2 linked regions of the Mytilus edulis genome follow. The protein of the gene in region 1 interacts with the protein of each later gene in a pairwise test. Links are inferred from orthologs where the notes say so. Each region holds a gene or a part of one and is shown on either strand. Other genes may lie near its edges.

Region 1 (17,871 bases):
TGACAGCTGAGCAATACAATTTCATCTAACTAAAATCGAAGAAATGATGACAAAATAGCATAACAAACATATTGTCAGAAAGGTGAAATATATATTTATTTGCATATTTTACTGTCTTGAAAGATATTTTTTTTCTTTTTTTTCCCGACCGACCGACCCGACTTTTTCATGGGGAAAATCCGTAAACCAACAAATTAAAAAACCCTGGCCTTAGTAAAACTTAAACAACTTTTAATTTCAAATGTTACTTTAATTGTATTTTTTTTACTCAGATATGAATTGAACAATATAAGAAGAACATTATTTACATATTGCCCTTTATACTATTGTAAAATCCAAACATTGTAGCGCACCTCGCGAATGAGCACTTCTCTTTCAAATCTCACCACTTCTCCCTATCAGTTTCAAAAAGAGAAGTCACTTCTCCCTATAATTCTGAAGTAGTGTGAGCCCTGGTTGCCACTGACATTATTTGATCTATACAATTGCCATTGATAGTACCTGTAATTTTTAGTGCACTTTCTTTCATTTAACCAATTTGAGGTCAGACGGTGAAGGGCATAGACCTATTGCTATTTGAAAATCTATCCTGCTTGAACTTTTGACATCATACAACAATAACTTTTCCGTTATTCATTATTGTGTCAATTATTTTCTATTGTGACATCAAAAAAGACATGAAAGAGGCAAATTAAATTCAAAAAGAAGTTCATATTACAGTAACTAAACAGGATATTAAAACAGCAGCAAGAATGTTAGTAAATAAAAAATGGCAACATCGATGGGACAATACTGATACAGAAAGATTTTATTACAATTTTCACCAGAATGTCAGCAAAAAATCAATATTTGATTGTCCAGATCATAAAACAGCAAAAATTATTAGAACTTTAAGATCCGGATACTACCTAAAAAATTAATAAAACAAAATCATCAAAGATCCCAAGTGTGAATGTGGTCAAATAGAAACTGTGGAACATTATTTACTATTTTGTGAAAGTTATGAAGAGGCTAGACAGAAACTTATACATGAGATATACTTTAACATGGGATCAAAGAATCATTACATATTGATTTCGAAACTTTTATTGTTAATAGAAAAAAACATCAATTTCTCCGTCTCTAATGCGATTGTTGGGTATTTGAGAGTGATACCGGTTTAATTAATGAAACATTATTATTATAATTTTGTTTCTTCTAAATTTTCATTTATTGATAAATGTATATATTTAAATTTTTTTAAGTGCAAATGTCATGAGTTGTTTACCAGAGTGAAATATTTACGGTATCAGGTCCGTTCGCGCCCTATATACTTTCGCACCCTACACGTTCGCACCTCGCACGTTCGCACCCAAGGTCCGTTCGCACTCTACACGTTCGCGCCCAATTTTAATTCAAATTCCAGTTGAATAATTGGAAAATCATCATCGTTGTTTTTAATTGCTTTCGTGTAAATACTGAATGTATTTATAGCTTGGTATGAGTAAAAGATTGAAAATTATAAATGAAAAACACAAAAGATAATTGTTTTTAACAGCTTGGTCCCTTTGATCTGAAACAATAAATTATAGCTATACACTATTATAACCAAAACATGATAAAATTTATTCAAGACTAAAAAAAACGTAGTCAGAATCTCACTTCATTTTGAAACAAGTCAATGAAACAAAGTTATAGTAATACACTAACCAAAACATGATAAAGAGTTATTCAACACAAAATAAAACGTTGACAGAATCTCACTTTATTTAGAAAGGAATATTATTTTTTTTAACAAATTACACTATCCAAAACATGATTAAGATTTATTCAACACAAAAAAATGCTAAGACAATGAAAACAATATTACTTCATGTACTTATAAGAATACTACTTGATTACAAAGTTAAAATTGGGCGCGAACATGTAGGGTGCGAACGGACTTTGGGTGCGAACATGTAGAGTGCAAAAGTGAAAGGGGGCGAACATGAGTGGGTGCGAACGTGAATGGGCGCGAACGGACCCGGATTCAATATTTACAAGGGAGACAATCCAGTGTCAACAGCGACACCTACAGAATACAGAATTATTTAGAAGAAACAGCGATAAGATGTATCATACCCTCATCATTAAGGAAGATCATACATTGATAAAGGGACTTTCTATACTATTTCTAATAGTATATAAAGTCCGGGGTTGATAGGAACACCACATATGCACCTTTAAACTCGAAGGAAAACACAGTATTGCAGTTGTGCGTTTAAATCCTACATGCCTTCAGATTGATTATTATCAATCAGGAAGCCAGATACGCTCTCATTTCTGTTGTTTATATACCAAAGCTTTCAGATCTACAAATTCACAGATGGACATACACAAAAATTTGACAAGCCTTCCGACGTTCTGTGGATTTTAAATTTGTAAAGCAATGGTCTTATTCATTTATGTGGGATGATTAGAGTTTCTTAATAAAATTTGAACAGTATGTGTCACGTACTATGTGTTACTTGACATCTCTTACTTTAAAAGATGTGAAAAATAATCAAAATTATTTCAAAACATCAACATCCGCCATTTTACCGCCAAACAGGAAATAGCCTTCAAATTTTGATGGTAATGGAGAAAGGAAAGATTTTTAGTATCTAACCTAAAAAGATAGATGTTTCTTTTTGCACGGTATTTTTCTAGGTCTGATTGGTTCTTGTGTATTTTTGAATGTCATGCACAATACAGTATGTTGTAAACGATTATATTTGTTTTATGTGTATGCCCCTTGGGAACCTAATTTGGAAACTAATAATCTTATCTTATCTTTTTATATCATAGGCAAGAACGTATAACATCTAATATACGTCTTTGATCATAGGCTAATAGGTTAATTAATATAAATTGCTTCGTCGAGCGCAGCTGAATACGACCGCAGAGGTCCAACTGTGAACAGTTGCAGCAAAAATGAACACAAAATGGGGGGAAAAGGGGGGGACTAGGATGAAATTTGAAAAATAGGCAGGACAGGAGTTTTGACTAAAAAAAGGCAGGATGAGACACTTGCAAAAAAAAATGTCAGGACGACAATTTAGGTAAAAAAAAAGTCGGGATAAACTAAAAAAAAAAAGAAAAAAAGGCAGGACCGAACAGAATGAAAAATAAAAAGGCAGGACAGACATTACAGCTTAAAAAAATGCAGGACAAAATTTTTCATTCTAGCCACCCCCCACCACCCCCCCCTCCCAACCCTAAAAAATCAAATGGTAGCTCCCTAACTTTAAACATTTTCAAACTGTTAAATGATGCACATGTTGTTACTAATTCATTTATTATTGTTGTCATGTGTTGCAATTTGAATTAGACTAAGTTGCCGCATATTTGACCTAGATACGATCACAGGTGCTTGAGGACAGGATCCTGTATGAGCCCCATATAGTCCCTCCTCCCTTTTTTTTAAAATCATAATTCTCAGATTTTTCTATCTATATCACTTATTTGTACTTATTTGTACCATATATACTAATATACCATATTTATACTCTTAATATGCATGTTTACTATAGTCGAGATTCACGTTGATAGTAAACATGCATATTTAGAGTATAAATATGGTATATTAGTATATATATGGTACAAATAAGTACAAATAAGGGATATATATAGAAAAATCTGAGATTTATGATTAAAAAAAATATATATAAAAAAAAAGGGGGAGGGACTATTTGGGGCTCATACAGGATCCTGTCCTCAAGCACCTGTGGATACGATAACCGTTAATGTTGGCTGTTCAAATCTCATCCCTCTGGAAAATCACATTGCCAGTCGTTTACTTGTTTACAAACGAAAAAAGGAGTTCATGGAAGAGCCTACACAAGCGCCCTCCACTTAAACACATCGGACGTAGAAATTACCTTAATTGTCCAAATTAGAATCGAAATAATTGATGCAAGCTATACTTTATTGTAGTTTAAACATCAGTAGGCATTATATTCCTGTTATTTTAACCCTCCCTCTCGCTCGGGCAAAAACAATCACGAATATAATGCCTACCCATGTCAAAACTACAATAAAATACAGCTTGCATCTATTATTTCTTAATTTGACACATAATAGGTTTCTGGCACAGAATAACTCACGGTAGTTAAAGAACTTGATTTTATTTTATGCAATACGTTACGCTGATGTGAGTTTACCCCCTCCCCTAAAATAGAAATTTTATTTTATTTTCTTGAATCTTGAGACGATTTCCCCCCCCTCCCCCAAAAAAAAATTTTAACCCCAGTTTTCCAAATAAAAATTCTTTCCCTCAAGTTTTTATCATAATCTCATTTCAAATTTCCAATGAAGTTTGCAACCATAATAACCCATTTAAGTATATCATAAAAGTGTTAAAATAGAAAAGGACATACATAATCATGGCTAAAATTAAATATCTTTCATCAGCATTATTAGAATATAAAAATAAATTGACAGCTAATCACCTCAAGACAATACAATATTATTTCTTTATACATATTACACAAAAAGGAAGGTAAGAATTGGAATTTGGGTGGGGGGGGGGGGGGGGGGGGGGTATGGCTCAAACCATTTAGGATTTAGGGGCAAAAAAGGGTTTCCTGATAAATGGACAATTACTAAGTACATAACATAATTTGAAAGGGAGGTAATTGTCAATGTTGTGTTTGCATTACCTCCCTTACACTGCTTTTAAATGATGTTATGTACTTTTTAGGTTACGGAGGGTTGAGCGCTCTCGTCTCGTTGGCAATTATACCACATCTTCTTGTTTTTATAAAGGTGAAAAACAGTACCTTAGAAAATATCAATAAAGTCTTTATTGCACTATTTACATGTTGAATTTCCTTTAAAAAAATACGCTTACATACACGTTACAATAGCACTTGTTAAATACAGCTGCAAGTTCCAGAGCTATTAATTATAATTAGTCCCCGAATGAATCTCAGTAGTGAATCTGCATACCATCATGATTTATCATTAAATGCTGTACATTTATTGACTGGTTATGAGAGTACTAGCATGATTGTTGTTCCTAAAAAAATACCAATTGCTTAAGGCGAAGCTAGAAGTACCCTCAAGTAATGTTGACTCTATATTATTTTTGGTCCAGTTTGGCTAATACATGTGTTATAGTAATTTCAACCTTTGGTCATAAACCTATGCATGTGTTTCGGTAGTTATATTATACAACCTTCGCTTTAAAAAAAAATGCGTTTAACAAGCATCACCCCAGTTGGTTGGGTTAGTTTTCTGTCTTTTTTTTTTTTTTTTAGCTTTCTTTGTAGTCGGTTTTGTATACTGTTTTGTTGTTTTTCTTTTTTGCAATGGTATTATTGGCTTTTCTTCAAACTATGATTATAAAAAAGAAGATGTGGTATGATTGGCAAAGAGACAACTCTCCACAAGAGACCAAATGACACAGAAATCAACAACTATAGGTCACCGTACGGCTTTAAATGATGACCAAAGCTTATACCGCAAAATCAGCTATAAAAGACCCCGAAATTATAAATGTAAAACAATTCAAACGAGAAAAACTAACGGCCTAATTTATGTAAACAAAAATGAACGAAAACCAAATATGTAACACATCAACAAACGACAACCACTGAATTACAGGCTCCTGACTTTGGACAGGCACATACATACAGAATGTGGCGGGGTTAAACAGTTTAGCGAGATCATAGCAACCCCCTCAACCTGGGACAGTGGTTTAACTTTACAACATAAGAACGAAATATAAAAATCAGGTGAAAAAGGCTTAACTCATGGATTCAAATAGAAATACATATAAGAAATCACAGAGTGGACGTGGTCGGGTACTCAGCTGGTACTTGTATATCACAACAAAAAGATATTTAGCACAGATTTGAGAGTACTCGCAGTTAATGATGACAACTAGTTCAAAACCACTTACAAATAATGAAAAAAAAATCATGCATCTAAATTATCAATCAGTACACGTCCAACATCCAATCGATTTAGTGTAAAGACATCATAAACAGTCAGACAAAAACATGACCTTGTACAATGCCAAGATACAGGTATCGACAGATTGTAGATCCATGAATATGTATATTTTACTGGATAACATTTTTGTTCGCTTTTGAGATTCCGATGATCGTCAGGTAATCGGAATTCCAATGGAAACTAACTGTGCACCACTTATTGCGGACCTGTTTTTGTATTGATATGAGTTACAAATTATAACAAAAATCAGCAAAGACCAATCGAATCAATATCTGTTATAAAAATTTAATAATACTTTTAAATACTTAAATGATATATTGGCTCTCAATTATGACGACTTCAGTATGTATACTAAAGAAATTTATCCTGTTGAACTTACTTTAAATAAAGCAAATACTAACAATGACCACTGCCCTTTCCTCGATCTTGATATCTATATCATTAACGAAAAGCTTAATACTAAAATTTATGATAAAAGAGATGATTTTTCATTTCCTATCGTTAATTATCCATTTTTAGATGGTGACGTTCCTTTGTCACCATCTTACGGTGTTTATATATCTCAACGTGTACGATTCCCGCGTGTATGTAACAACGTTTTAGATTTTAAAGAGAGATGTATTACTGAAAAATTATTACACCAGGGTTTTCAATATCACAAACTAGTCAAAACATTTACTAAAAATTTACATCATCGGTACAAGGACATCATTCGAAAATATAGCTCAACATGCAGACTTCTTATACGTTCAGGTATTTCACATCCAATCTTTTATGGAAATATTCGTTATAAAGCACAAAAATGTCAGTATCCACCTCAGAAGGTAACAAAACCTTTAAATAGACTTATTAAGAAGGGATATAGATACGATACTGTTGTCAGGTCATTAAAAATTGCATATTTTGGCGTTAATATTGATTCACTTGTAGGGTCTTTGCATTGGAACTAAACACATTTATTTAAAAACCAGTTGTTGGTATGTCACGGGCTATGTTCTTCTCATATATGTTATGACTAGAACACACCCGCGAAATCGAGGGCATTCAGAGCTTGGTTGAAAGTATGTAAAGTAGACAGTGGTTGTCGTTTGTTTATGTGTTACATATTTGTTTTTCGTTCATTGTTTTGTACATAAATAAGGTTGCTATTCAATTAAACTGATGGAAAGATTATGATTTCATCATATGAATATCAGGCACAATCCTTCCCGTTAGGGGTTTAGTATCATACCATCATAACATATATGAGAAGAACATAACGTGTGCATACTGTTTACATTGAAATATGTGGTAACTTTTCATTCGAGGTAGGGGCAGTTAAGAAAATTAGTGTTAGTTTAAACTCTGAGAAATTCAGGGCATATATACGTTGAAAATATGCCGCACAGCTCGGACTTCTCTTGAACTGAATTTTAATGTGCGTATTGTTATGCGTTTACTTTTCTACATTGGCTAGAGATTTGAGATCAGAGGGAGGGTTGAGATCTCATAAATATGTTTAACCACGCCGCATTTTTGCGCCTGTCCCAAGTCAGGAGCCTTTGACCCTTGTTAGTCTTGTATTATTTTTAAATTTAGTTTCTTGTGTATATGGAGTTTAGTATGGCGTTCATTGTCACTGAAATTTTAACTAGTATATATATTTGTTTAGGGGCCATCTGAAATACTCCTCAGGCTGCGAGAATTTTTCGCTGCATTGAAGACCTGTTAGTGACCTTCTGCTGTTGTCTGTTCTATGGTCGGGTTGTTGTCTCTTTGACATATTCCCCATTTCCATTCTCAATTTTATGTATATAACAATAATATTTAGTTTGCTTTTAATTTACTGATAGCAAAATCAATATTAATACCAATAAAACCAATCTTATTACAGTGTTGAATTGGTAACCTTTTAGAATAATAAAATAATTTTATTTAAAGGATCGTCTGACTTTCGATAAGTTTTACAGGGTCGTTTCTAAATTTTCGGGCACGGTAAACAGCATCTCTGTAAAAATGAGGATGTGCTATCCTGTTTGAAATATTTTTTCTACAGGAACGACCAAACTTCAAAACCAAATCTTTATATCTACGGAAGACTTTAGTAAAAGTTTTAAGTAATTTGTGGTAATGTAATCCCTGACTTAATAATTTACCAGTAATACAAACATTACGTTCGTGAAAACGTCACAACAGACTTGGGTATATAGATTTGGTTGTGAAATATAAACACCGAAAGATGGTGCCAAAGGAACAATACCATCCAAAAAGCGAAAATTAACAATGGGGAACGAAAAATCAAGACAGGAATATCACTGAAAAGTTATTGTTTTTAATAACAAGATATATTTTATAACACATCCAAATTCCAAATATATATATATATATATATAACTCGTCTAAACATCAACCCAACAATGTTAGATCTGTAAATTTGCTTTCGCAAATATATATATATATATATGTAAAGTCTCTGAATGATTGTATAATAAAAACTATAACACAAATTCCCATACGTTTCGGCCATTACGGCCTTCTTCATTGGAATAAATTACAACATTGAAACAACAATTACATCGCTTGGATACATTACGTTATAATAACTTCTATGACGTTCATTTGCCGCGTTTTTCGCTTTTTTAATATAAATATATTTATTATCGTTCATACATTGTGTTGAGTCCTTCAGGTTCTAAAGTTTTTAATTTCTTCATCCAAAAGGCTTCTTTAGTTTTTCTGTAAACTTCTGTCCCAAATACTCTCTCTATGGCGGTAACTTTCAAATTTGTCATTGAATGATTGTTCTGAATGAAATGGTTGGCTACCGGATCTTCTGTTTTTTGTGTGCGTATTTTTGAAAAGTTCAATAGCATTCGTTGATATAGTGTATCACCCGTTTGTCCTACATATATAACTTTTTCACATTTTGTACAATTAATCGCATAAATCGCTTCCAAATGTACATTCAATTCATAGAAAAAATCTTAAAATTCTCCATCAATCTGAAAGACTAAAGAAAATATTCCCCGATCCGCCTATCGTGGCATTTAAACGCGATAACAACATAAAAGACATCTTAGTGCACAAAAAGCATAATTTACTATTTTATAAACAAACTAATGGATGTGGACCATGTGGTAAAAATTGTGCATTATGCTCACATATAAATGAAACCAAGGTATTTTGTGACAACACCGGCAAAGAATATACCATTCAGGGACAAATAAATTGTAAAACCGTAGGCGTGATATATGCGAAAAACGCGGCAAATGAACGTCATAGAAGTTATTATAACGTAATGTATCCAAGCGATGTAATTGTTGTTTCAATGTTGTAATTTATTCCAATGAAGAAGGCCGTAATGGCCGAAACGTATGGGAATTTGTGTTATAGTTTTTATTATATATATATATATATATATACAACTCGTCTAAACATCAACCCAACAATGTTAGATCTGTAAATTTGCTTTCGCAAATTTCTGGTTCTTCCCTCGCCGGGATTCGAACCCATGCTACTGTGATATCGTGACACCAAATCGCCAGCCGTCCCGCTAGACCACACGACCACCTGGGCTATATATCACAAATTAGCAAAGAATGAAAAAAGTCTACTATTTTGCGTGTGTAATCCCATACCACCATAGAGCTGCATGCCTCAATCTGCAAGCTGATCTTGATGCAGCTTCAAAATGAGAAGTGGACTGACTGATGGCCATCTACCCGACAGGTGTAATGCTCTCTCTGTCACAATCAACCTTTAAAAATTAATTACACTCTTCACAATCATATTTTAGAAACTGTTACATCTGCTAAGTACTAAGGCATGATCATCACGCCTAAATACTAAGCAGAGCCGCATCACATTACAATCATACCTAAAATGGGACAAACATATAGATGACAATACCTCGTAAACTTGAAAACATCAAATCAAATCATTAACAGCCAGAGATACCAAGATGGTAGTCCCAAACTCGAGTACTCTTGCTCTGTTTGGGACCCCCACACTTCAGAATCTATCTCGAAGCTAGATGGTCCAAAGGAGAGCTTCTCTGTATGCCTGCAACGTGCATCATACCACTAGCAGTGTATCAAACATGCTCAATAATACACTCAACTGATCACAATTTACTCAACCAACGCAGATTATGTTCACGCCTGGTTATGATGTACAAGATCACACATCATCTTGTTGCTATACTATCTAGCACAGTTCTCATACCATCAGACTCAAGAACTAGAAAACATCATTCTCACACCTCCAGACATATTTAAACATCTAAAGACTCGTACAGATTTTCATTTTTCCCATAAACAATTAGTCAATAACGCAATGGAATCTATTATTACCAACTACAGTTGTTAATACATTTAAAACAGTCGACTCTTTCATAGAGCAGCTTACATATGTTGTTCTCTGCCCGGGCCACTCTATTTTGAATAGCTTCTTCTCCTGTAAATAATTTTAATCACTACGTCTGTTCTCTGCTGCAACATTATTATCAATATTTTTTGTATATAACTAAAATATTAACTTTTTTAAAACAAATAGGCCACGTATGCATCAGTTATTAATCATCTTCATTCAGATGGAAGACTGGAAAACAACTTAAGAAGAGGAAGGGGGCAAGTTCACCCTAGTAGAATGGCCGAATCGATTGTAGACGTGTCACGGAATAGCATTTCCTTCATTATATAATATCCAAAGGGAAAAAATGTTCTGGAATATTATTTCCACAGGAATAAATATTACAGTAAATGTTCCCAACGGAATAAATGGTATAGAATATTTGTTCCAACAGGAATAGATATTATGACAATGTTTATAACAAAGTTTCCATTGGAACTTCTGTTAGGTGGAACAAATATACGTTGACAGACGAACCGCCAGCCGTTTTTGGTTCTTGACGAACTGCCACTTTGTTGGATGTGAACGAACTGGTAGCGTGGACGAAACGACCTGTAGGCGAACTTGTAGTGTGGCCGAAACGTCTTTTTTTTTTAAAGATAACACAACATCAAGGCCGAGAGGTATCTATGAGGGTCCACACTTTTCAATTTCGTTATGTTATGGATCAAAATTGGTATCTAGCTTTTTCTCATCATATTCCTTGCAACCTTGCAGCAACATTTATTTCTGCTACCACATCTTTTCGTAATAAAATGCAAATAGAGGAACACCCTTTTCAAACAGCTTCCCGCGATATTTTTGCTCTCGCGCATGAATCTTTAAATGGGTGGGACTATTTTACTCTAATCAACATGGCTGACCAAAACACCGACTTTACTTGTCAAAAGAATACCGCAGAAATGAAGTTTGTTTGATCTATATAAGATAATATTGGAGTGACTATTGAACAGAGGGTATAGAAAACTTAATATCTGAAAGTAAAGTTGCTAATAATACTGACACAGAAGGACTTTTCGCGATACTTCCTACCGTTGTTCTGTGGGTGACTCATCTCCGAGATATCGGTCATGGAATAATAAATGAAGTGAGATAATGAAGGAAAACCAAAAACAATGCCAACTGTCAAAGTCTTAAAAATATGAGTAATTAGGTAAGATATTAAGATGGTTAGTTAGCAGACATGTTTTATATATACAGTTTTAACCGATTATGACAGTTTACAATGAATTTCAAGTAGAAAACATTGGTTTTATGTTCTCAAAAAGCCAGTCATCTGTTGATTGTTGACTCAACTTCTTACATTGTAGATGTTATCAGGTCATTTCATACCCATAGATTGGGTGTTAACCTAAAAGATGGTGTATGTATACATGTTAAAAACTATTAATAGCTTGATGTAGTAAATTATGTACAATGACATGTTTCATACATGTTTGTACTTTCTATTAATTGGAACTGTCCCACCACCACACTTAGAGCAATAGGTTACTTTGTAAGAGGTTAAACACCAACACAGGACCACACAATGTCAATGTACAAACTAATCAACCATTTATAGTTTGATCTGATACATCATTGCTAGCCAAGGGTTACAATCCAGTCCCCTCGTCTCTACCCTTTTTGGCGGATCTTAACCCTTTGCGAGCAAAAATGTTTCTGATAAAAATTCCATGCACTTATACAATGTAGTTATATGTTTAAATTCAAAGAAATTGGAATTGCTGATTTACCTCTGCATCCTTCCTAGACATCTGTAAGATCATGCAACATTTATCTCGGCTGACAGCAACCACCAGATCCAAATACATACAATGTAATTTTATATTTGTACAAGTCATAGATTCTTGAAACTTGGCTCTAAGCTTCAATGATCTGATAATGCTATCTTGACTACTGTGTGACATGTTTTGCAGTTCTTTCAATGTTTTACTTCCTGTTCGCCAAAAACTTTAACATTGATAAAAGAGGGACGAAAGATACCAGAGGGACAGTCAAACTCATAAATCAACAATAAACTGACAACGCCATGGCTAAAAATGAAAAGGACAAACAGACAAACAATAGTACACAGAACACAACATAGAAAACTAAAGATTAAACAACATGAACCCCACCAAAAACTAGGGGTGATCTCAGATGCTCCGGAAGGGTAAGGAGATCCTGCTCCACATGATAACATACAATGTACATCTACATCGTACATCATACATGGAAATGGTACAAATGTAATGTCCCAATTATTGTCTCTTCAAGGATACTCATGGCTACAATATTTCAAGAATCCCAAATCTAATACAAATGCTGATCAAAGTAAAAAAGGACCTTTTAACTAAAAATAAAGTAGTGCCTAAATGGTATTATACTACAATTTGTATATTGAGCATTGACATGATTGCAGTCAGTAATCATTATAATTCTGAAGGGTAAGATACCTGAAGAGGAAGAAGAAGAATAATTTACCAACCTTTCACTGTTTATGAATAATAATGGTAACAGATTATTATTTGGGGTTTCTAATGAATCATTCATGATAAGGATAATTAAACGAATCACAATAAAATTTTAACCAATTTGACGCTGAAGGGAAAGGGCCTTCCTTCCCTCTTGTATTGTCTTTATTGTCATTTACCAGGTGTTCATTTAAGCTTTTGCTTTAGTCATGTTAGTTTTTTTGTTTTTTTATCTGGGTAATTTTATTTCCAAAGTCTGTGTTGTTTTTCTCAGTTACAGTCTTTTTTTTATACATTTGAAGTTGCATTGGTGATGTTACACATGGTAGGAGGACAGTAATTCATTGATCCCCTATTGCATGATGTATCAACAGATTTTATTAGAGATATAACATAAAAGTGTGTTACTAGACTATTGTACCAGGAATTACTGGCCCTTCTGTTGTTAGTATCTATACATGTAGCAATACATGCAGTAGGTAAGGTTTTAATATCTGTTCAAGGATATCCATGGATGAAAATTTATTTTTAGCTACATAACATGAAAATGTTTTTGTATTCTGTAGAAAATTTTAAAACACACACATATATTGAAAACTGAGGGTAGAAGCTAAGAAATTTAAAGAATCATATTAAATGACTATTTTATCCTCGAGATTTTATCATAGAAAAAGCACTTTTATTCTTTTCTTTTTCTTGAAGTTGTTTAAAGGTAATACATGTAAAACTTCATTTGTTACAATACAAGCAACATCTTAACCAATTATTGAACTTGATATAGCGGCAGCCTGGAAGGACATGAAATGTTGGTTATAAAAAAAGTATCCTATTTTGAAATTCTTGAAAAATGATGTGATCATGGACAAATGATGGATATTTTGTATTAAATTTTTTTACTGTTTCTCAGCTTACAATGGCATGAATGGCTTAAACCACTGTTCTTGATAGAAAATAGTCTTTTAATTTGAAATTTTCTTAGAATGTGTCTTATCTTCGGTTTTATTTGAAAAAGAGCCTCAAGGAAAATGTCTAACCTTTAGTGAAGAAATTAACAGGTCTTGTTTAATTTTAGATATTATTTTGCAATATACATGTATGTGTAACCTATACAGTAGACATGTATATGTAATCAACTAATAAGTTCAAATATCATGATCAGTTTGCTGTCTTGTCCAAATCATAATGCATGGAGATAAAAAGAAATGGTAAACAATTTTACAGATTTTTATTGGACTTAATTAACTAATAAGATTAGCGAATTATTATTTAAAAATATATTTTTATAACTTTTAGTGTTCTTTTACCAATATCTTACAATAGTTGAAGGTATCAATTTTATATAGCTTGCAGACTTTTGTGCTAGTAGTTTGTACAAATCTCACTGTAAAGACGCTACTTTGAAAAAAAAAAACACATTTTTACTGCATTTTTTTCTTTTCCAATAGTATAAAAATACATCTCTGTTTGAAGAATTCTAACCCATCATAACATTAGTTGTTTTTAATAGAATATTTGATCACAGCAGGACTGGAGTAGTAACAGTATTTGATTACACAGACAAATTTCTTATCAGTGATATGCTGGAATTTCAATCATGGATAGAAACAGATAAAAACTTGTTTCATTTCCTGTTTTTCTGTACTATGCATCACAGTGTAATCTTGGAGAGAAATAGTGCAAATGATTAAAGCTTTAAATTCAACCACCTGATAGTTGGTAATTGAAGAGAAAATGTGCGGTTAGTAGAAAACACAAAAATAAAGATAAAATCTTATGTGCACGTGTGTACATATATTCTTATCCAAAAGTCTCCATCTTTTTTTATGCTGTAATTTATTAAATGTCAGTGAACGAACCTGCTGTGTCAGTGGACGTCTATTCATCATAAAATTTCAAGGGGAATGGAAATTAATTGTAACAGTTAGTCAGTGGTATACGTTTTCATGGAGAGTTAATCAATAGTAATATAGTACTACAGCTTTATCCAGAATTGAAAATATAGACACGGTCAGAAATTTTTATTTACTGGTACATTGTTGTATCAGCATGTAAAGTCCAGCTTACTCTGATTCATAGTACTGTATGGGTTCATATCTACAATGTTATCAATTTTGTCCTTTATAACCCCTTTCACAAATGTACTGCTGCAATTAAGAGTTTGCTGACAGTCTGACACCTGCATCTGTATAATGGAATTGTTTATGGATAGATCATGTACATGTACAAACTTCATGTCAGAAAAAGGGACTTGTAGCTTTATAGAAAGTTGACTGATTCATGTGCCAGAGGAAGAAAAAAGAATATGTGGTATGATTGCCAATGAGACAACTCTCCACAAGAGACCAAAATGACACAGAAATTAGCAACTATAGGTCACTGTATGGCCTTCAACAATGAGCAATGATGTTTATTTCATTAGCTAAATGCTGTTGTAACAGCTCAGTTGATATAAAAAAAGATGTGCCACAGTGGTATGATTTCCAATGAGAAAATTCTCCACTGCAGATCAAATTACATAAAAGCAATTATAGAATACAATACAACTTCAACAATGAGCAAAACCCACACTGCAGAGTTCATATTATGTTTTTCAGGAAAGGAGTAGTATATATTAACTGACTGTTATTGCTGTGTGATAACATGAACATCCATTTGTCTTAATTTAACAGCTGATTTGTTAATTTATTTGCAACCATTCTCTAGGCCACACCAATTTAATTTCTTGTTCTTTGGATTTTTCCACTCCCAAAATTTGGGCAAACGAGTGGTTTGAAAAAGAAAAAAAATCGCGAAGTTTTGAGGTGAAGCTTCAAAAGTAAAGGCGACCAATTGAATTAAATTTATTTTTGTTAACATTAAATCATAGGTTCTGACAATATTATCCAGTCTTCACATTTAAACATAAGTCCTACTGCATTGACTTGTGAATTCTTCTCTACAAGCCTACAGAATCCAACTTAAATTTTCAACAAATTGAGCTTCTGGCTTGTGGACTCAAAAGTTAAGGTGAACATGGTGAAGGCTGTAATGATCAAAACAAGATAATATAAAACTTGATTTACCCCTTGTACTGTGACATTTCAATAATTTATCAACTGCTGCTGAAGTGTTGTTTTTTTCTCTTTACCAAAATCCTGTACATGCATGCATGTAATGCTCACTTTTAATTGCAGCATATGGTTTGGAAGTGTTTAAATCAGAAGGGACAGATAGAGAAGACATGCATGTACACAGAAACTGTCCTAGACTAGAAATCAATAGATTAAAAATAATGTAAAATTATGGTTTCTCATATAAAATCTAATGTCATTTATTTTCATTTAAGGAGGCTCGAGGGTATAAAAATTTCAGAAAAAATTAAACATTTGTTTTTCACTACAAATTTTATTTATTACCTTTTGTAGTTGTTACTTTATCATATGGTACAAAAATCATCCAAAACAATCAATTCGTGTTGGCCCCAGATGACATTTAAAATGTGTACATCATTGAAAAAGTTCCAAATTATCTCCCTTTGGTGGAAAAATGCTCTTTTTTGGCTTTAAAATTGATATATCTTTTTTAACTCATCGGTGACATATATTTTTTAATATAATTTCCATATAAGCTGTACTTAAACTAAATTATTGTAAAATTTGAGCGATTTCTGTAATAAATTTCTTTTTTTATTTCGATAATACCTATATTTCTCCTATTACTTCAACCACCTTTACAAAAATGTATGCTTCTTTCGAAGGCAGATTGTGAGCGCAAATGAACGGTGACCCCACTTTTTTATTTTAATTTTCTATTAACTATAAGATAAAGTTCATTTATAGAAAAATATAGAGAAATCCTATATAAATGATTTAGACCCGCGAACCCCCTTAACATATATGTCTGAAGATTTAATACTTAAGCATTACAGTTTTATACCAAATAATAGTGTATGAATATTGATATTTCCCATAAAATGTTGATGTATGGAATTTAGGTCAACCCCCTTGTACATATATATCTTATTATACATACTTATATCTATATAGATAATAATTATGCCACCCCCAGAGTGAAGATATCATGATTTTTTTGCTTTAATAGTGCATTTAACATGTGTAATGGACAGTTATTTCACATGGTTATTAAAGGCAATTATTGCAATTATTGCAGACAATCAAATTTTTATAAATTGTATAACTACATACACATATATTCAATTTATTTTAGCTAAAGCTATTGTTTGGTATGCCACTTGTGATAATAGACTAGTAGGTGTCACTGACCGTGTCAGGATTGAAAATACACAAGACTAGTTTAATCCACCCACTTGTTAAAAGTGGCAGTTCCAGAAAAATCTTTTGTGCTCACAGTAAAGGTTGGGCAAAAACAATAAACAATAAATATAACTTGTTTCTTGCATTGTGGCTATTGCGACAGATAAATTAACAATAAATGTTGAATTACCAGTATACAACAGAAACTGGTCCCCCCAAAAAAAAAAAAAAAAAACAAACTCAAAATCAGCAGTAACAAACAAAACACACAAAATATGAACCTAGGTCAATCAGGTATTGCAAAATGTTAGTATCCATTTATATGACAACAGTAGCATTATAAAAATGGGATAGAAATTAAATTGGATATTTATCATTTCAGTGATGTGAAGCACAACGTCCGGATGCCAGCAGCAACCATGAATGAAGAAGGTCAGCAAGTCGTTGTTGCAAAATATGACTACAGGGCCGAAAATGCACAGGAATTAGATATAAGGAAACATGAAAAGCTGGTCTTGTTGGATGACACTAGGGAATGGTGGAAAGTGCAAAACAATCGTAACAAATCGGGATTCGTTCCCTCAAATTATGTTAAAAAGTCCAAACCTTCAAAGATTTTCTCTAGTCTCAGAGCAACTCTTGGGAGAAGAAATAAAAGTGATACAAAATTAACTTCTCATAGTCCTGTGGTGAGCCGCAACGGAGATACAGGAAGTGATCAAAATAGTACGAGTAGTGACGTTACGATTTGTGATCCTCAGCCTTCCATTGTCAAATTTAATTATACTCCTCAGAGGCCGGATGAATTGGGATTGACCAAA
Region 2 (17,513 bases), on another chromosome or scaffold:
ATATTCAGTGTCTTTTTGTTTTTGGAATGTACAAGTACCCGGCCACGTCCACTTATTTGTATTTTTATTGATCTTGGCCTTATTTTAACTGATTTTTATATTTCGTTCTTATGTTTTACTGTTACACCACTGTCCAATGTTATGGTGAGGTTTCAGATCCCGCTAAGATGTTAAACCTGCCACATTCTCTATGTATGTGCCTGTCCCAAGTCAGGAGCATGGAGTCAGTTTCACAAAAGAAAACTTACGACTAAGATTGATCGTGAGTCATGAACATTTCAGTATACTTACGATCCTTCTTAGTCGTAAGTTTTTTTGTGAAACCGACTCCTGTAATTTAGTGGTTATCGTTTGCTTATGTGCTCCATTTTTGTTTTTGGTTAATTTTTGTCTGCATAGATTAGGCCGTTGGTTATCTCGTTTGAATCGTTTGACATTGTTATTTCGGGGCCTTTTATAACTGACAATGTGGTATGGCCTTGCTCATGTTGAAGGCCGTATGGTTGTTAATTTCGTGGTCTTTTGAGTGGAGAGTTCCCATTGTCAATCATACCACATCTTTCTATTTATAATAAATGCATTGCACAAAATGACTAAAACCACTAGACTCCTATCATTTTCTTGATTGCTTAAAGATAGATATGTTATTATTCTATTTTTTCATGATATATTCATCTTTTGTCTTAGATTAAAAATAAAACTGTAAAAGAACCCAGTCATTGCCCCCTATCCTCTCGGTCCCAGTTGAAAAATATCAATATGTAGATCAATTTAACAATTACAGTATGCACCAATTTACTCAATGTTCTAAATAATAATATGAATGGTACTACTTTTTACTGCATAAAATTTATTTTACAACTAAAAGGTTTAAAAAAAATGGACGTTCATGTACATTTTGAAAGTCAGCAGCCAAGTTCACACATAAAACATTTCTACTCTTATAATTCTCAACTATTTTTTTGTGCTTCACGTATGTAATAAAGAGCATGCATACGTCCTCTCAGTACCGGAGCAAGCATTAAGTTGTTCCCTTGTCCGTCTATAAATACGTACATACATTGTAGGTCCGTCCGTCTGTATGTCCCAAAACTGGTTTCCGATCTCTAACTTTAGTTTGCCTCAACCAAATGTTAAGAAACTTAATATACACAATGCTTATCACCACAAAACACAGGTGAAGTTTGATTTTGCTGGCGTCACTTGATACTAGAGTTATGCTCCTTAACAAAAGGAAAAAATGCTGAATTTTTCGTTTCCGTTTTCCAACTTTAGTTTGTCTCTACCAAATGATATAAAACTTATACACACTGTTCATTACCACAAAACACAGATAGAGTTTGAATGTTGATGGCGCCACTTTTCCAGTTCAAGAGTTATGTCCCTGTACTAAAAGCAAAATTGCTGAATTGTTCGTTTCCGTTCTCTAACTTTAGTTTGATTCAACCAAATGTTATGAAACTTCTAAACAATGCTTATTACCACAAAACACAGACCCAGTATGAATTTTGGGGATTTCTTTTATTTTTTCTGTTCTAGGGTTATGCTCCTTTACAAATGAAAAAAAAATGCTGATATTTTGTTTCCGATCTTTAACTTTAGTTTGTCTCAATTCAATATTATGAAATGCATATACAATGATTATTGCCACAAAACTCAGTTTAAGTTCAAATTTTAGTAGCGTCACTTTTAAAGTTCTTGCGATATATCTCTGTATAACTTTATATGTTAGCGGGGGAATCAACTGAGTCCATAAACTCCATTTATTTGAGTTAAATTATTCAATCTTTGGGTGAAGAAAAAAAACCGGAAATTAATTGAAACCTGACAGTCATACATAACATTGTCTATTCATCAGATCATGCACAATTGATTTTTTTTGAAAATAACAATAGAGAAAAAAATAAACATTGTGAAAACGGGGGGGGGGGGGGATTATTATACAGTATGCAAAACTAAAAAATATGTATTTGCTGTCTCTCTTTTATATGAAAATACATACTTAGATATGCATAAAAATTATTTTATCTGATTTGTGATGGTTGCTAAGCAAGATATTATATCATGGATACGTTCCTGTGTAACCATGGAAACACTGAATTAAGAATTATATATTAGAATTGCACATCTGCACTAAAGGTACTCATAAATATCCTTTAGTTCCACGTTTCAAGCTTAAAAATTACACTCAGTGATACTAAACATCTTTTTAAATGTTCTTCAGCTGTTAACTTAAAACACACTATGCGTTGCTAAGGAAAACTCGGGTTGATTTGACGGATTATATAGATATAAAATCTCTTTTTTTTCATGCAAACATTGTTTCTTAATATATCAATATAGGAGGTGACTTAATATGAGTTCTATGAAAACATTTGAATTTTTTATTTTTTTTATGGATAAAATTGGATAAAAAAGTACTTTTGTGTGATCACTAGGCAACATTGTGGTTGCTAGGTTACTATTAAGAACTTTTTAAAATGATATACCCAACAATAGTAAATATTCAAGTGTTTGGTAACACATTACCATTCATTTTAATAGATTCAGAAGTCTTTTCCTTAGGCAATTGCAATAAAGATGAATATTATAGTTCGTTTTATAAAACCCGTTGCTAGGCAACTAAATAATCACATAAACACAAAATGCTCAACATTTTTTTAAGTCACTATGCATAGACTAATGATGGATTGAATATGAAGTCATTTGAAGAGGGGGCCAAAAATGCACCTTATCATACCTTGTCCAAAACGTATAGTCGTCAATTCTTTTTTTCAATCGGTCAGTGTTATTGTTAAAATATGGCAGGTAATTAAAGTTCGTGTTTTGAAGCCGAAGTTTAACGATTTTCACCCGTTTGTCAACAATCAACAAAAAAAGCATAGATATTGACATTGTTTAACATGCACATTCAGATAATAGTTTATTTTAAGGACATCCATGCGTATTGTGATCACCGGATTTTTACGAGATGGGTCACGCTGAGGTCATTTGCATACGAAAAAATATTTCCGCGAATTGCTTCCTGGAAGCAAGCAATTAAAATAAAGTAAACTTCTTCTAAATATGAACAAATGAAATAATTTTCTTCATAAAAAAGTATATGTAAATAAGTTTTATAATGAAAACTATCCATCGAGTTATGAAAAACATATGCATTATTTTTTTTTAATTTGAGGTTTCTTATGACTTTAAGAATTCAAGATAAGTCGGGTTGTAAATTTTCACATCCTATGGACAATGAACAATAACAGATGAGTTTAGTTTAAACATATTTTATTCATAGTGGATTGGGAAACAAGTTTTGCAACTTATATCAATCCCTTTCCACTTTGCGGGTGCGAGTGCTGCCGCTTATAGCGCCATTAGCATACTCGTTTTCGAAATCTACAAGGGTGTCTTTAACCTGCAAAATATATGGCTCTCTCTTAACACTGATCAGCCATTCATCATCCCCTTCCGACGGACTATCATCGTTTCCCCAAGACCATACTGGAATATGGTGTCACTTGAAGGAGAGCCGAAAATTCTGTCCCCGAAATTTTCATCCCAGATGAGTGATCAGATACACTACTCTTGAAAGATTGGGCATTCTGCTGGAGCTGTACACTATCAAAGATTTAAATATGACAGAAATTATCTAAGAGATTGCAATCTTACTAGACATAAAAAATTTCATTGTGTGACCCCCTGTAAAATAAAATTTTGGATGGCAATCCCCCCAGCTGTGTGATATTTTGGGTAATGACCCCCTCCCCTAAAATTAACCAACCCCCATAGCTGATAAATAATGACTGTTCCATAAAGACTTTTTTGTTTTTTCTTATTGCCAAAAATTGGACTTTTCAGATATTGTTTCATATGCAAAAGCTATCATATCAATGCTAATGATAAATAAATGTAATGTTTCAAATGTACATACAGTACAATATTTAGTGATTTTTGGTTTGTTTCTTTTATATTAGTCTTGCTACAATGTAAATCATCAAATTGTATAGTCGACGCCCGGGGAATTATCTTCAATAATTGAAGGAAACAGCTAGAAACTGAAAGAAGAAATATTATATATCATATCATACAAATATAAAACATGCCATCTGGCTTTGATTATAACTATCTGCAAAGACAGGATACCAGATAGCAGAGAGATATATGTATGGAGAGTTGATATCACATCTTCTTATTTCTTTCGAATTATATGTCTTTGTCTCTCCTATATCTAGGTATAAACGTTAGTATCTTTTCTAGCCATTTCAACTGCTCTCATCCAGAGATTGTATTTATATATGTCTCTGCATGGTTTATGTTTTTATAGTTTTTCCCTGTAACTGAATGTATAATTATATTGATATAATTTTGTTTTTGTTTATTTATATGCTACCTGTACTTAACTAAATTATCGTATCGTCTCCTATATCCTATCAAGGATTTATATAGTAAGAAGGTCTTACTGTATCCTTGATCCTATCAAGAATTTGTATACTATACAAATCTTTGATAAGACAAAATCCTCAGGACCCCCCAATATCCAATGTCCATTAGAGTTATCCCTCTTGTAAAATTTCTCAATATTTATAGATGGCGTATTAAAATCTGCAATTTGTCATGGCAGAGAGCACTGTAAGTCACTTTTAAGCCATCATTTAGGGATAGAATCACTGTTTTGATTATTTTTATGGTCTCTGTGAGAAGAAAAGTCACTATAATCCTTTGGAATTAATTGTCAATCTTAAAAGTCAACAGGAAATATAGTTATCGTCAAAAGAGATAGCTGAACCCGCCCCCGTCCGATTTCAAAATATTTAATTGACATGACAGTTCATGTGATCATTATGAAATTTAAAAAAACGGAAATTTGAACCAAATCCATGGTTACAAATACATTTTGAAGAGGTTTAATTTTGCGGTACTAATATGACTAATTTTATAGTGTTGTCCGATTTAGTTTCCTATTTCCATTTATAAATTACCATGGTAAAATTTAGATTTTCAGAGACCCATAATATTTTTCTTCTGAAAATTGACAATAACTGTTCACACGCACTTGTTTATGTCTATGGGGGTTTACTATTCACACTCAAAAATCGTATGAGTGTGCACGTGGGATAGTAAAAACAGTATACTTTCGCACCCTACACGTTTGCACCTCCGAATTCGCCTTGGAAGTCCTTTCGCACCATACACGTTCACACCCAATTTGTATTAGAATCTCAGTTGAATTGAAAGATATTGTTTTATATGTATATACCAAATAATTTTATTTTCTTGAATAAAATTTGAGGAATTATCTTATAATTTTTTTTTTATTAATTTGATGATTAATTATTAAATTTATGTTAATTATGTATGATTACTGCTAGTTGGTATTTATTCACAGCCTAATTTGGTGTTATTTTTAGTGTTAAAAAAGTCATGATTGTTGTTTTTTAACTTGCTTTGATGCATAATGTGTTTTAAGTAATAAAGAATGGAAATTGTAAAGAACTGCATATATTTAGCTTGGTATGACTAAAACTTTGAAGATTTTATATAAAATTTGATAAGTTTAAAAACTACGTGCAGGGAAAATATATGTTGTTTTATGAAAATATACAATAAATGTTTATGTTAGCTGCTTAAATGTATATATTTTAAAAGATAACGAATGAAATAACGTTAATATAAACAGTAAGTTCGTGCGCATGTGTCAAACATATTTTGTGCTCATTAGGACACGGCTTTGTTTACAAAGCGTAATAAGGACGTCATATTAGAATGTGCGATTTGTATTTTATTGAAAATGATAGTAAAAATTTGGGCGCGAATGTGTAGGGTGCCAACGGACTCTGGATGAGAACATTCAGGGTGCGAACGTGAAAGGGGTGAACATAAATGGGCGCAAACGGACCCTGATTCAGTAAAAAACCCATTTAGGTTCTAAACCATTGCCTGTGTCACTGTCACATAGACATATTTACACTTGTAGGCAAAGTTGTTTGCTATTATGTATTCAAGTTCCATTTATTTTGACACCACAATTCAAAAAAGTTGTTGTCACAATTAAAAAGTGGTTGATGCTTGATGTCATACGTACGGTTATTTTGGAGCAGATCTAAGAGGGGGGCAGGACCTTTTTCGGGACGTCAGTATTGGGTCTTTTTAAGCTTGGGATTTCAGGATTGACCCTTTCGGGATCCTGGATTTTTTTTTCTCGAATTTCAGGTTGTGGAGATTTTTTTGAAAAATTTGGGACCTTGTGATATCATGTTTTTAAGCCCTGGATTTCGGGATCAGTACCCCTCCAACCCCCTCTCATCTAAGGTCATTCAGAGACCAAATTCAGCTAAATATAAAAAATGTAAATATATAGGTTTCTTGAAATGTCATGCAGCCAGCAGGGTGGATTGTATATGAACTGTAAAATGAGGAAAAATCTCTCTTGACTAGACTCGAAATGGTCATAAAATTATACACTATTTACCATGGAAATATTATGGACAATGAAGTTGTTCTGTAACTTTTGTTCTGTTTTCATGGTTTAGCAGTATCCCTCCACTATCATGACTATCTTGGGGAACCATTGAATACAAACTGATACACGATGTTTATACGGTGTAACCATAAAACTCAGATCAAGTTTGAATTTTGGTGGTGTCACTTTTACTGTTCTAGAGTTATGCCCCTTTGCAAATGGAAAAAAAAATGATTTTTGGTTTCCACTCTGACTTCTGCTCTAAGTTTAACGTTAGTTTGTCTCAACCCAATTTTATGAAACTTATACACAATGCTTATCACCTCAAAATACAGATCAAGTTTGATTTTTTATGGGGCGCTTTTACTGTTTCAGAGTAACAAAAAATGTATACCCCTTTACAAAAGGAAAATAAAATGATGAGTGAACTTAAGTTTGCCTCAACCAAATGTTATGAAACTTATTCACAGTGCTTATTTATATAACAAAAAAAACCAACAGATTAAGTTTGAATTTTAGTGGTGTCACTTTATCTGTTCTAGAGTTATACCCCTTTACAAATGGAAAAATTGATGACTGTTTGGTTTCTGTTCTCTGACTTTACTTTGCCTCAACCAAATGATACGAAGTTTATATACAATGCTTATAACCACAAAATATAGATCAAGTTTGATTTTTAGGGGTGTCATTTCTACTAACATGACTAATATAGAGTTATATCCCTTTACATGTATTTTTCGTTTTCGTTCTCTAACTTAAGTTTGCAGCAACCAATTGTTATCAAACTACAAAATAGTAACTACTACAAAATTCAGATAAATTACAAATTTTGGTAGCGTCACTTTTACTATTTGTTCTTCAGTTATGTCCCTTTAAAACTTTATATGATATGCAAGCAATAGAGAGCCATGGTGTAGTGGTTAGTGCATCGGACTACTAACACAAAGGTTCCTGGTTAGATTCACGTTCTGGGATGAAAATTTCAGGGACTGAATTTTCGGCTCTCCCTTGACACCATTTGCAAGTATGGTCTTGAGGAAGCAATGATAGTCTGTGGGAAGGGGACAATAAATAGCTACCCGTGTTAAGAGAGAGCCATATCTCTTGCACGTAAAAGTCACCCTTGTAGATTTTCGAAAAAAGAGCAGGCTAATGCTGCTACAAGGCAGTACTCTCTGACACCAGCAAAGTGGAAAGGGATTAATTTAAGTTGCAAAACTTGTTTCCCAATCCACTATAAATAAATATGTTTAAATTAAATTAAGTTAAGCAGTATAGCATCATGTGAGTCCCATGGAAACATTCCCCTTTTATTTATAAATGAGTTCAGAGAGGTGACTCCAGTAAATTTAATGTGTAAAAAAGTCAGAGTTAGTTCTGCCCGAAAAGTAATTTACACATTTGAACATTTTTCAGCACAGAAGCTATGATATACATGTGATATATATAAATCCAAATTGAGCAGTACATACAATAACATATATTCATGATACATTTATATCTATTTTCAAATTTTAATCATATATATATATATACATACGTACACAACAATGTAAACAAAAATCATGACTTGACTAAAAAGGTGAAAGTATATAAAACAGGCTATTATTTGAACTTGGAATTATTTTTAATTATGGAATTTGCTTGATTTCTTGTTATTGAAATTTTCAATAAATTCCACGTTTATTCTGTACTGAAATGTTCTGTGCTGCCCACAACACTTTCTATTACAAAGAAAATAGTATTTTTTAATAGAATGTACTGTGCCGCGCACAACACTATCTAACCAAAATACATTGTATGGAAAGTGTTATTAACCGCTCAAAAGATCATAATACCAAATATTACATGGAATTTATAAAAAAATTTAATCACAAAAAATTAGGCAAATTCCATAATTAAAAATAATTCCAAGTTCAAATAATAGCCTGTTATAACATTTAACAGGTTTAAATCCCATCATCTGACGAATCTTAGCAATACTGTTATTTATCTACTGAATTCAACTTTTTCCTGACCTGTTGATTATTTTCATTTAAACAATGTGTGATTATGTTTGACCACTTCTTCATTGGTTGAAATTCAATTTTGGCTTCAATTTTGTTTACTTTTCGCTGAATTTCCTATAGTGATATCATGTTATAATGATGATACATGTACTTATTATATATATCATTCAAAAGAAGGATGAAGATTGTCTGTTTACTGTATAAATATCAATATCGAGAAACTGATTCCTGGCACTAACAAATCTCATGCAATACGATATTTATCCACCTTCAACAGATAAATATCTCGTTGAGCTTCACTATTTAAAATTTGAAAATTTAACTGTTTGACACTGTTTGAGGTGATAAATATTGTATCACACTTGATGCTGAGTTGTAGAATCTATTCTTATCATGGTTACATTTAAATGCTATATACATGATATACATGTTTATATGTATGTGCAATCCAAAATCAAAGAAGAATCTTTAATTTGGCATGAATTGATAGAAAAATTGGTTTCATTCCTAGTTCATTTGTCATTTGTCTGGGGTCAGAATTGTCCAGTTCTTATAAAGTTAAATATTTCATGTCTAGCTTCTTAAATATATTTTGCTAAATAAATAGACAGTCACACAATTATGTTTTAAATATTAACATGATTAACCACATTTTACAATGTTTTAAATCCTATTGATTTATGCAATATGACATGTTTTCTCATCATGCTCAAGTGACAGAATTTAAGTTTGATGCTTCAGAAAGTGCAAAATGTGATATTTCTTTGTTTGTCTTAATCATCATGATCATGTTAACACAAATCATGTACATTTAAATCAATACTTTATTTAGAAAAAAAGTCCTTTTGTTGTAATTATAGTCATTTCTACAAGTGCCATATAAAGCATCCATAACAGTTCATTAATTTAAAAAATCATTATATTAAGTGCTGTATGGTTGAAATAAGGATGTGATGAATTCCCCCTTATATGAGTGTCTGGATAGAGTATACATGTACAAATATTAGATAATAACCTACCAATGATAAAAAAGGGCCCAAAAAATAAAGAAAAGAATTATTAGTAGGCCAACAAAATAAAAAACTAAGAGCTAGTAGGCCATTAAAATAAACAAAAGAGAATTAAAACAGGGGTGATAAACATGATTAATATAAAAAACAGAGAAAAATGACATAAGAAATTAAAGAATACAGTTCTGAATGACATGAATATAGGACCCCATGTCCAGACTCCAGAACCTTATAAATATATTTCTGAAGTTCCTGGTTTAATCAAATGCTAACTTGTAAGACTTTAACATTACATTTTTGAATCTCTGACAATTATATAGATAATAAACTATGTATCAGGATTTTTGTTCCTAATTAACAGGTTTAGGTGAAGCCTTGAAATTCTTATTTCACATCTTTCAGTATACTTTTCTCAACATGTCTCTAGCCTAAGGTTAATTTAAACCTAAATAAATATCACTTATGCTTCATCAACCAACAGGTAAACAGACAAAAAAATGAAATGATTAATTCTGATGAATTACGATAAGAACATCTTTAATAATCGGGTAAATAAACCCTTGTTACTGACCGAGACGTTAATTTGAGTCATTCAAATATCACCTCAGTGTATTTATTACTAATAAGGTGGTTCTGTTTGAATTAGTTAGTATAGTTTGTGACTCATGTTTTGATCAGTTCAATTGGCATGATTGGGGTGATTTTAAATTTGTTATTATTATTCAATTTTACACGAAAATAGGAAGAGTGATTTTTATTGGAAAATGATTCAGAAAGGAATGAAGGTAAAATATTATTTGTGTGAAAAAGATCAGAATGATTATCTATATTCATAATTGATTATAGACAATGATATTTGTATGTATAACAATGAAGTATCGAATATATTGAATTTAAAGCTACATGTATACATTATGTTAATATGCAAGAGTATTTGTAAACATGGAAAGTATTTTGGCAAGAAACAGTGAGACTATTTCTGCATATATATTTATATGTGATAAATTAATATTGACTTGTAAGACATGTAAGAAAAGTCTGCCAATGCATATATTACCAATAAAATTTCTGGATCCAACAGATGTATCTATGTTTAAACGAACCATACAGAAAATAATAAGTTAATAATTTACATTTATATATGTAACATGCAAATTGACAATTACATTTTATTGCCTTTCTGAAAAGCAGATGTTGAAAATATAGGATTTCAATTTTATTCTTTAAACATGTTATTCAAAATCATATGACGATTAACATGATTAATATAAAGTCAGCTGAAATTTTCAATATCGCCAGCTTAAAAAAGACCTTTTCCTGTATATCATATAAAAAAGAAGATGTGGTATAATTGCCAATGAGACAACAATCCACAAAAGACCAAAATGACACACACATTAACAGCTATAATAGGCCCCGATAAGACAATGTAAAACAATTCAAACGAGAAAACTAACGGCCTTATTTATGTAAGAAAATGATCGAAAAACAAATATGTAACACATAAACAAACGACAAACACTGAATTACAGGCTCCTGACTTGGGACAGGCACATACATAAATAATGTGGCGGGGTTAAACATGTTAGCGGGATCCCAACCCTCCCCCTAACCTGGGACAGTGGTATAACAGTACAACATAAGAACGAACTATAAAAATCAGTTGAAAATGGCTTAACTCATCAGATGGACAAAAATATGTATATTTTGATCTTTATTCTTATAATCATCATGGACAATTTTTACAATGACACCAAATATGTCATATGAAACAAGCTGTATCAGATTTAGTTACATTTCGTGTATGACTGAAATCAATTATGTTATTTGTACTCCACCCCTTTTTATTCGATTAATTCGAAAGAAATAGAACATTTGAAAGGTTTATTAGCGGATACAGGACTTTTGTATTAAATCAATTAAACATTAAATCCAAGATACAGTTATTTTTAAAGATAAATTGCTTTTTTCATTGCTATTTTTAGTGATTTAAACATTTTACAAATTGAAAAAAAATCTTAATCGTCTTTTAAAACGAAATGAATTAATGACTGGCGAGGATTTTAGATTGAAGTTAAAAAAAATGTCCCATAATCAATATTGGTTGATTGATATTGAGTGATTGCTATTTTAGAATGATTGCCTAATTAACTTGCATTTTACCAAACTACAGTAAAACCTACAAAGTATACCATGTTTACATGGAATACTAACTGGAACAGCCTAAATCACTTGCATTTCATCAAACTTACAGTGAAACCTACATTGTATACACTACATACAACAATAACTGGAAGAGCCCACTAAACTGGCTTTTCTTCAAACTTGAGTGAAACATATATGTAATCACTGTATGTGTTGAAGACCAATTGGTGGCCTTTTAATTTGTTTTTTTTCTCTTTGACACATTCACATTCTCCATTTCCATTTTCAATTTCATTGTATATATATTTGACAATAATACAGCAAAAAGCTTAACTTCATGAACTTACTTGCATTCCATCAAAATCAGTGAAACCTATAACTGAAACCAGTATAAAATATATCGGTCTTATATCAATATTAGTAATTTATCTGGTATAATTAAGCTCCTCTCTTTTTTTCTTTACAAAATCTTTAATCCATCAGAGGTATGAGTTTATTTTGGTTTAATCATGTTAATAGATACTCGGTATCAAAATGATGTTGATGTATAATTTTAATACCTATAAAAATTTCAAAATGTTGGCTTTAAATGTTGATCAAATTTAATTATATGAGTTATCTCCCCTTGTTTCTTCTACTAAACTATGCAACAGTTTTGATAATTATATTTTTTTTCTATTTTCAGGTAAAAGTTTTATATGATTTTGATGGTGATCCAGATAATGGAGAATTGTCTGTCAGAGCAGGGGAAGAATTAACAGTTACAGCACAGGTAAGTAGATTTAACAAAAAAGAAGGGGAATGGACAAAGTTTGGGCAGTGTGATAGCTGATCATTTACTCATTAGAGTTGGGGAGGGGGTCGGAAAACTTTGTTTCTGCTGATTATTCTTGTAAAGTACATGTATAGATCTAAGTTATCATGGGTATTGGTGGCTGAGTGGACTGAGAAACATGATCACTAGCATGTCAACACTGAGTTTATGATTTGCGCCTGCTTCCTTAGTCATGGTCATTGAGTTTGAAACTCGATCCTTTTTGTGAACATGGTAAAAAAAATTGATGGTGAAAGTGTTTTACTCCAATCTAAATTTGCAAAGTTTTTTTGTCAAAAATCATGGTTTTCTCTTGGTACACTCGCTTTATCAACTTACTTAAACTCACTGTGACCGTGATATAAAGAAGATAATTTAAAGAGATACTGAAGATAATTTAAATTTTGTCATCATCGAAAAGGATATTATAATTCAGCCTTCTCCTTCTTTAAGTTTCCAACTATATAAGTTGAACTATGAAATTTTAAAAGCTGTACTTGAAATTGTTGTCAACCGCGTTCCCTGAAAAAAGGAAAAGTATAAAATACAGTACATAGTTATTTTACAGATGCACGAAGTTAATATTTTCACTATAGACATATCTTATCTAGTATACATGATATACATGTGTCCTCATTGACTTTATACTATACCCCACATTTCCTTCAATGTATATTGATTTTATATATAATATTTTATATATCATATAGACCTTTTGCCAGGAACAGTTATGTTTTTGATACGAAGAAAAGTAATTTTGTAATGATGTAACAGGAAGCTGGCTTATCCTTTGTTTTTTTTTTTTAGAAAAGATGAAATGTAAACATGGATGTACAAAAATCTGACATCCAATAAGCTAGGAAATGCATTAATTAAAAAAATCAAAATTATTCTTTATGATCTTATATTACCCAGTTGTACCTATCCCCTGAATGTATAAACCAGATTTTGATATACATGTATTCATGGTATAAAAAAAAGTAAAATCACAAAAATACTGAACTCCAACATGTTCAAGGAAAATTCAAAACAGACTGTGAGTGAGTCCCGTAAATCTAATGGCTAAAGAGAAAAATCACAAAAACACTGAATTTTTAAAACAGAATATGTCCCTAATCAAATGGCATTTACCAGTCATTGTCTATTTCAAGAATTAGATAATAAAATGCATTCACTAGAATTAGACTCAGATTTCTTTTGAACTTTTAAACACCAAATTTATACACATTAAACAGAAAATGAAAAGATTAAAATTTATTTCATAGTACATGCTTATTGAATTAAAATCTTGGCTAAAAAACAGAGTGCTATATTAGGGTTTCTTATGAGTTAAAGCTTTATAAGTTTATGTTCCCTTATTTCACGGAAAATATATTTATCAATATTTTTACCAAGTATAATATATATCTATATGTCATTATAGAGTGTTTAAATTATATCTTTCTAGATAAGTAGCAATACAGATTCGTAGTTTCCTGTTCAGAACAGGAATAAAACACTTTTGTTCTGATTAAGTATAGACTGAAGTACTTGAAATATAGAAGATGACAGTTGACAGCCTCTTAGTACATGTATACTGGTACTATCCACGCTTATCAATCTTTCCACTTAAACCATGTTTTTTCGTATTTTTTTTTTTTTTTTAGCTCACCTGCTGGCCTAAAGGGCAAAGATAACTTCACTCATAGGAGTTATTGACCTTAAATTTTACCTTTTTTAATCCTTTGCCTATTATCTTAAACAATAAAGTCTCATGATCAAAATCATCAGTAGAACCCTTGTAAGAGTTACTGCCCTTTGATGAAGATTTTTATCATTTTTTTTTATGTTTTTGCCTTTTATCATCGTTTATCCTTAAAATTATAATAGCCTTCTTATAATCATCAACATATTGCCAATGAGACAACTATGCACTAAAGTTCAAATGAAGTGGATGTTATTGTTTTATAATTGATTTTAATAGCTTTATTATTTACTAAAATTTTATTGAAATAGGGATTTCATAATCCAATATTTGGAAGGGTCAAATTAAAGGATGACACTTAACAGACTTAATAGATGTTATCTTCAAGTGATTTGTATTGGCCATTATCAGGATTATCAATAAATCAAACATTGAATCAGAGAAATTAAATAATGTAAATCAAAGTGTAATAATCTTTCGAAAATAAAGTAAAATGTATTTGAAATAATATACAATAAACTATTTATAGAATAAAAAAAGTTTCCTAAAAAGGAATATATATTGCACTGAGTGTCATGTAACCTAAAAGTTGATTGTGTTACTATAAAATTGCTACATGTAACTTTACTTACATTAGCTAAAAGTGTTGCTAAAGTGTAAATCAGATAAAACACAGACTGGTAACTTTGAAACATCTAAATCTCAGAAATTATTATGAGGTTTTTATTAATGCAAATAATTCAACAGTTAGTATCTCAATTATCTGTTTGCAGATTTTCAGTAAATCTCAATAATTAATATGGCAATAAATATGCCCATTCTTCAAAAAACGAATAATACATATGCACGAAATAATTTCTGAATTTTAGTAACAGTACAAATTCATGTATTAACACCTGCATGGATTGAAAAAATATCTCAGATTATAGCAACCATGTCATAGATGACAGTTATCATGGTTATAGGGTGAAATATCTATGTCATGTCATGTCAGTCCTGACCACCAAAAGTCAGATTGGTCTACCACTAAGATAGTAGCATTCAACTGAATGTTTGTGGTGGTTTTATGCCTTTTTGTGTTTCCTGGTAATTAGTAAAATTCTAGTTCTCGAAAAGTGGTGTTCTGAAGGATTTGACCACCAAAATTTGTAAAGGACCAACAGAATTTTGGTTTTTTATAATAGAAATAGTATTGAGGACCAGCAGTTATTCTTCAGGGACAACCTTATATATAACAATTTTGAGAACCTCTGCAATGACAGTTTTTATATCAATTTTTGAAATGGAAGTATTATAGTTATAATGTAAATTTTCAAATCTTATTTTCTACTATAAATATATCGCAACAAATAAATTTAGATATGAGACCACCTAATTTGTATTCTTGGTGGTCCAAATACAATATTTTCAAGAACTTTGTCATGCAAAAGGCCATTTCAGAATGTAAAGGATTATGGGATATTTGATTGTTCATATCCAAAAATAAAATAACGTCATGTCATTGGTTGAATTTCAATTGTTTAGGACGTTGTTAGCCAATCACAAGGCTTAAGATTTGTACATTTTTGAAAATTCTACCCAGAATTCATTTGATTCTGAAACAGCCAATGAGTTGGAGAGGTCACTGGGGTCAGTTTAATTGGCATAGAATACTGTTCCATTTTGTACCTTCTTGACCTTCAATGACTTTGGATCTGCGTTTTCAAAAAGTATAAATTATTGAAATTATAGCTTGTTAATACAGTATGCAAATGATCTCTTTCTTCAAGCTATATGTGTTACTGCGTAGAAATCAAATGACAACTTCTCATAGTTTTTTAAGTTTTGTAAAATTATGCATTATTGTGATCGTGATAGCAGGGTAGGAGGTATTAGCATTGATTTGAGAATAATTTGCGTTTCATTGGGGTTCTGAAATGCTATAAATCTTAAAAGAATTGAAGAAAATTACCAGTTTATGAAAATAGAATCAGGACATATACTTTTTATCTATGTGGGAAAAAGTTTGTTTCTTTTGTTGACATACAAATGTATCAGATTATAGGACACACACACATGATTGGATAAAAACAACATATTAAGTGTGAGAAAAGCCAGATTCAGGGCCTGGGGCCCAACATCAAACCAGATATCATTGTAAAGGTCATTTATTGGAATGTTGTTATGATTAAATGTGTTGATAAACTTGACATGAATTGATATCACCAAAAAAGAACATGAAATATGTTAATTTTGTTTTTTTCCCGAAATTTGACAAATTTTTATTGAAATTAAAATTTCAGGCTATTGTTTCTTACATGTCAGGCAATACATATTAGTTTTAGTTTTGGGTTTACAGATTAGAGGATAGATATATTGGACAAAAAGTTCAAAATAATGGTGAAACAAGAGAAAATAGAAAAATGATAAAGCCTAAGAGAAATATGGGGTGCTCAAATATAAAGAATAGAGTGAAATGGGCAAAATAATTAAAGAAATAAAGAAAAAATAGTTAAAAATTAAGAACACAGAAATGAAGGACTCTAATTGTGAACCTGCAGTATTACAATTAAGAATGTTTTACAGAATATCAAATTGAAAGTTACTCAAAAAAGGCGATACTAACATTCACCTTTTAAAAAAAATTTGAACTTAACTTTGTAGAGATTCTAGACCCTCATACATGTAGTTACATAATGATTATTACATGGTTTACTTAATAAATTCTTTTCTTGACAATGAGTTTTTATCATGTTTATTCACCTATTGAACATTCATGACATGAAGAAAATAAAGAATCATTTTTTAAAGACTAAAACCTTTTATCATGTGTATTGATTTTGTCTGGAGAGGAAAGAAAAAAATCAATTTTATGTTTTTGAATTAAAAGCTTTCAAGTAATTTTAAACATTTTTACGGAAGTGTTTTATGATTTGTATTGGACTAATTTACGTTTGGGGTCAATAATTAGCTCATTGTAGCTGTTTTATGTTTTCTATACACGACAAAATCATCAGAAAACATTTAATATTTTCCCTCTAATTGTACTGATTATAAGCTTGATTTAACTTATAATAGTTGCTCTTACTTGACCTATACCATAAAATTGAGAATGGAAATGGGGAATGTGCCAAAGAGACAACAACCCGACCATAAAAAAAAAAACAACAGCAGAAGGTCACCAACTGGTCTTCAATGTAGCAAGAAATTCCCGCACCCTGAGGCGTCCTTCAGCTGGCCCCTAAATATCCTACCACAAAGTAGAAAATCTATTGAAAATCTATATTCTTTAGATAGGTAAAGACTATAGGATACTACAATGAATGGTTTCTTTTCCCCCTCCTCCTTCCCTGTTTTTGGGGAAGACGGCTTCAAGCCGTCAATCCCCAATGGGGTTGACCAGAGTGACATTCCCTCACAT

What was found.
Region 2: the proteins of cytoplasmic protein NCK2-like (region 1) and sorting nexin lst-4-like interact in a two-hybrid assay, tested with the Drosophila melanogaster proteins (2 studies listed by BioGRID). The link is inferred for Mytilus edulis from reciprocal best matches to the Drosophila melanogaster genes dock and SH3PX1.

Annotation. Positions count from the first base shown.
Region 1 is NC_092346.1:20,311,149-20,329,019, forward strand, and holds the start of cytoplasmic protein NCK2-like, read left to right. Parts: upstream 1-11,167; 5' UTR 11,168-11,497; intron 11,498-17,432; 5' UTR 17,433-17,454; coding exon 17,455-17,871. UniProt on the Drosophila melanogaster protein: Adapter protein that links cell surface receptor tyrosine phosphorylation to downstream signaling pathways and effectors, many of which are involved in regulation of the actin cytoskeleton.
Region 2 is NC_092350.1:70,775,741-70,793,253, forward strand, and holds the start of sorting nexin lst-4-like, read left to right. Parts: upstream 1-10,117; 5' UTR 10,118-10,234; coding exon 10,235-10,255; intron 10,256-12,300; coding exon 12,301-12,387; intron 12,388-17,513.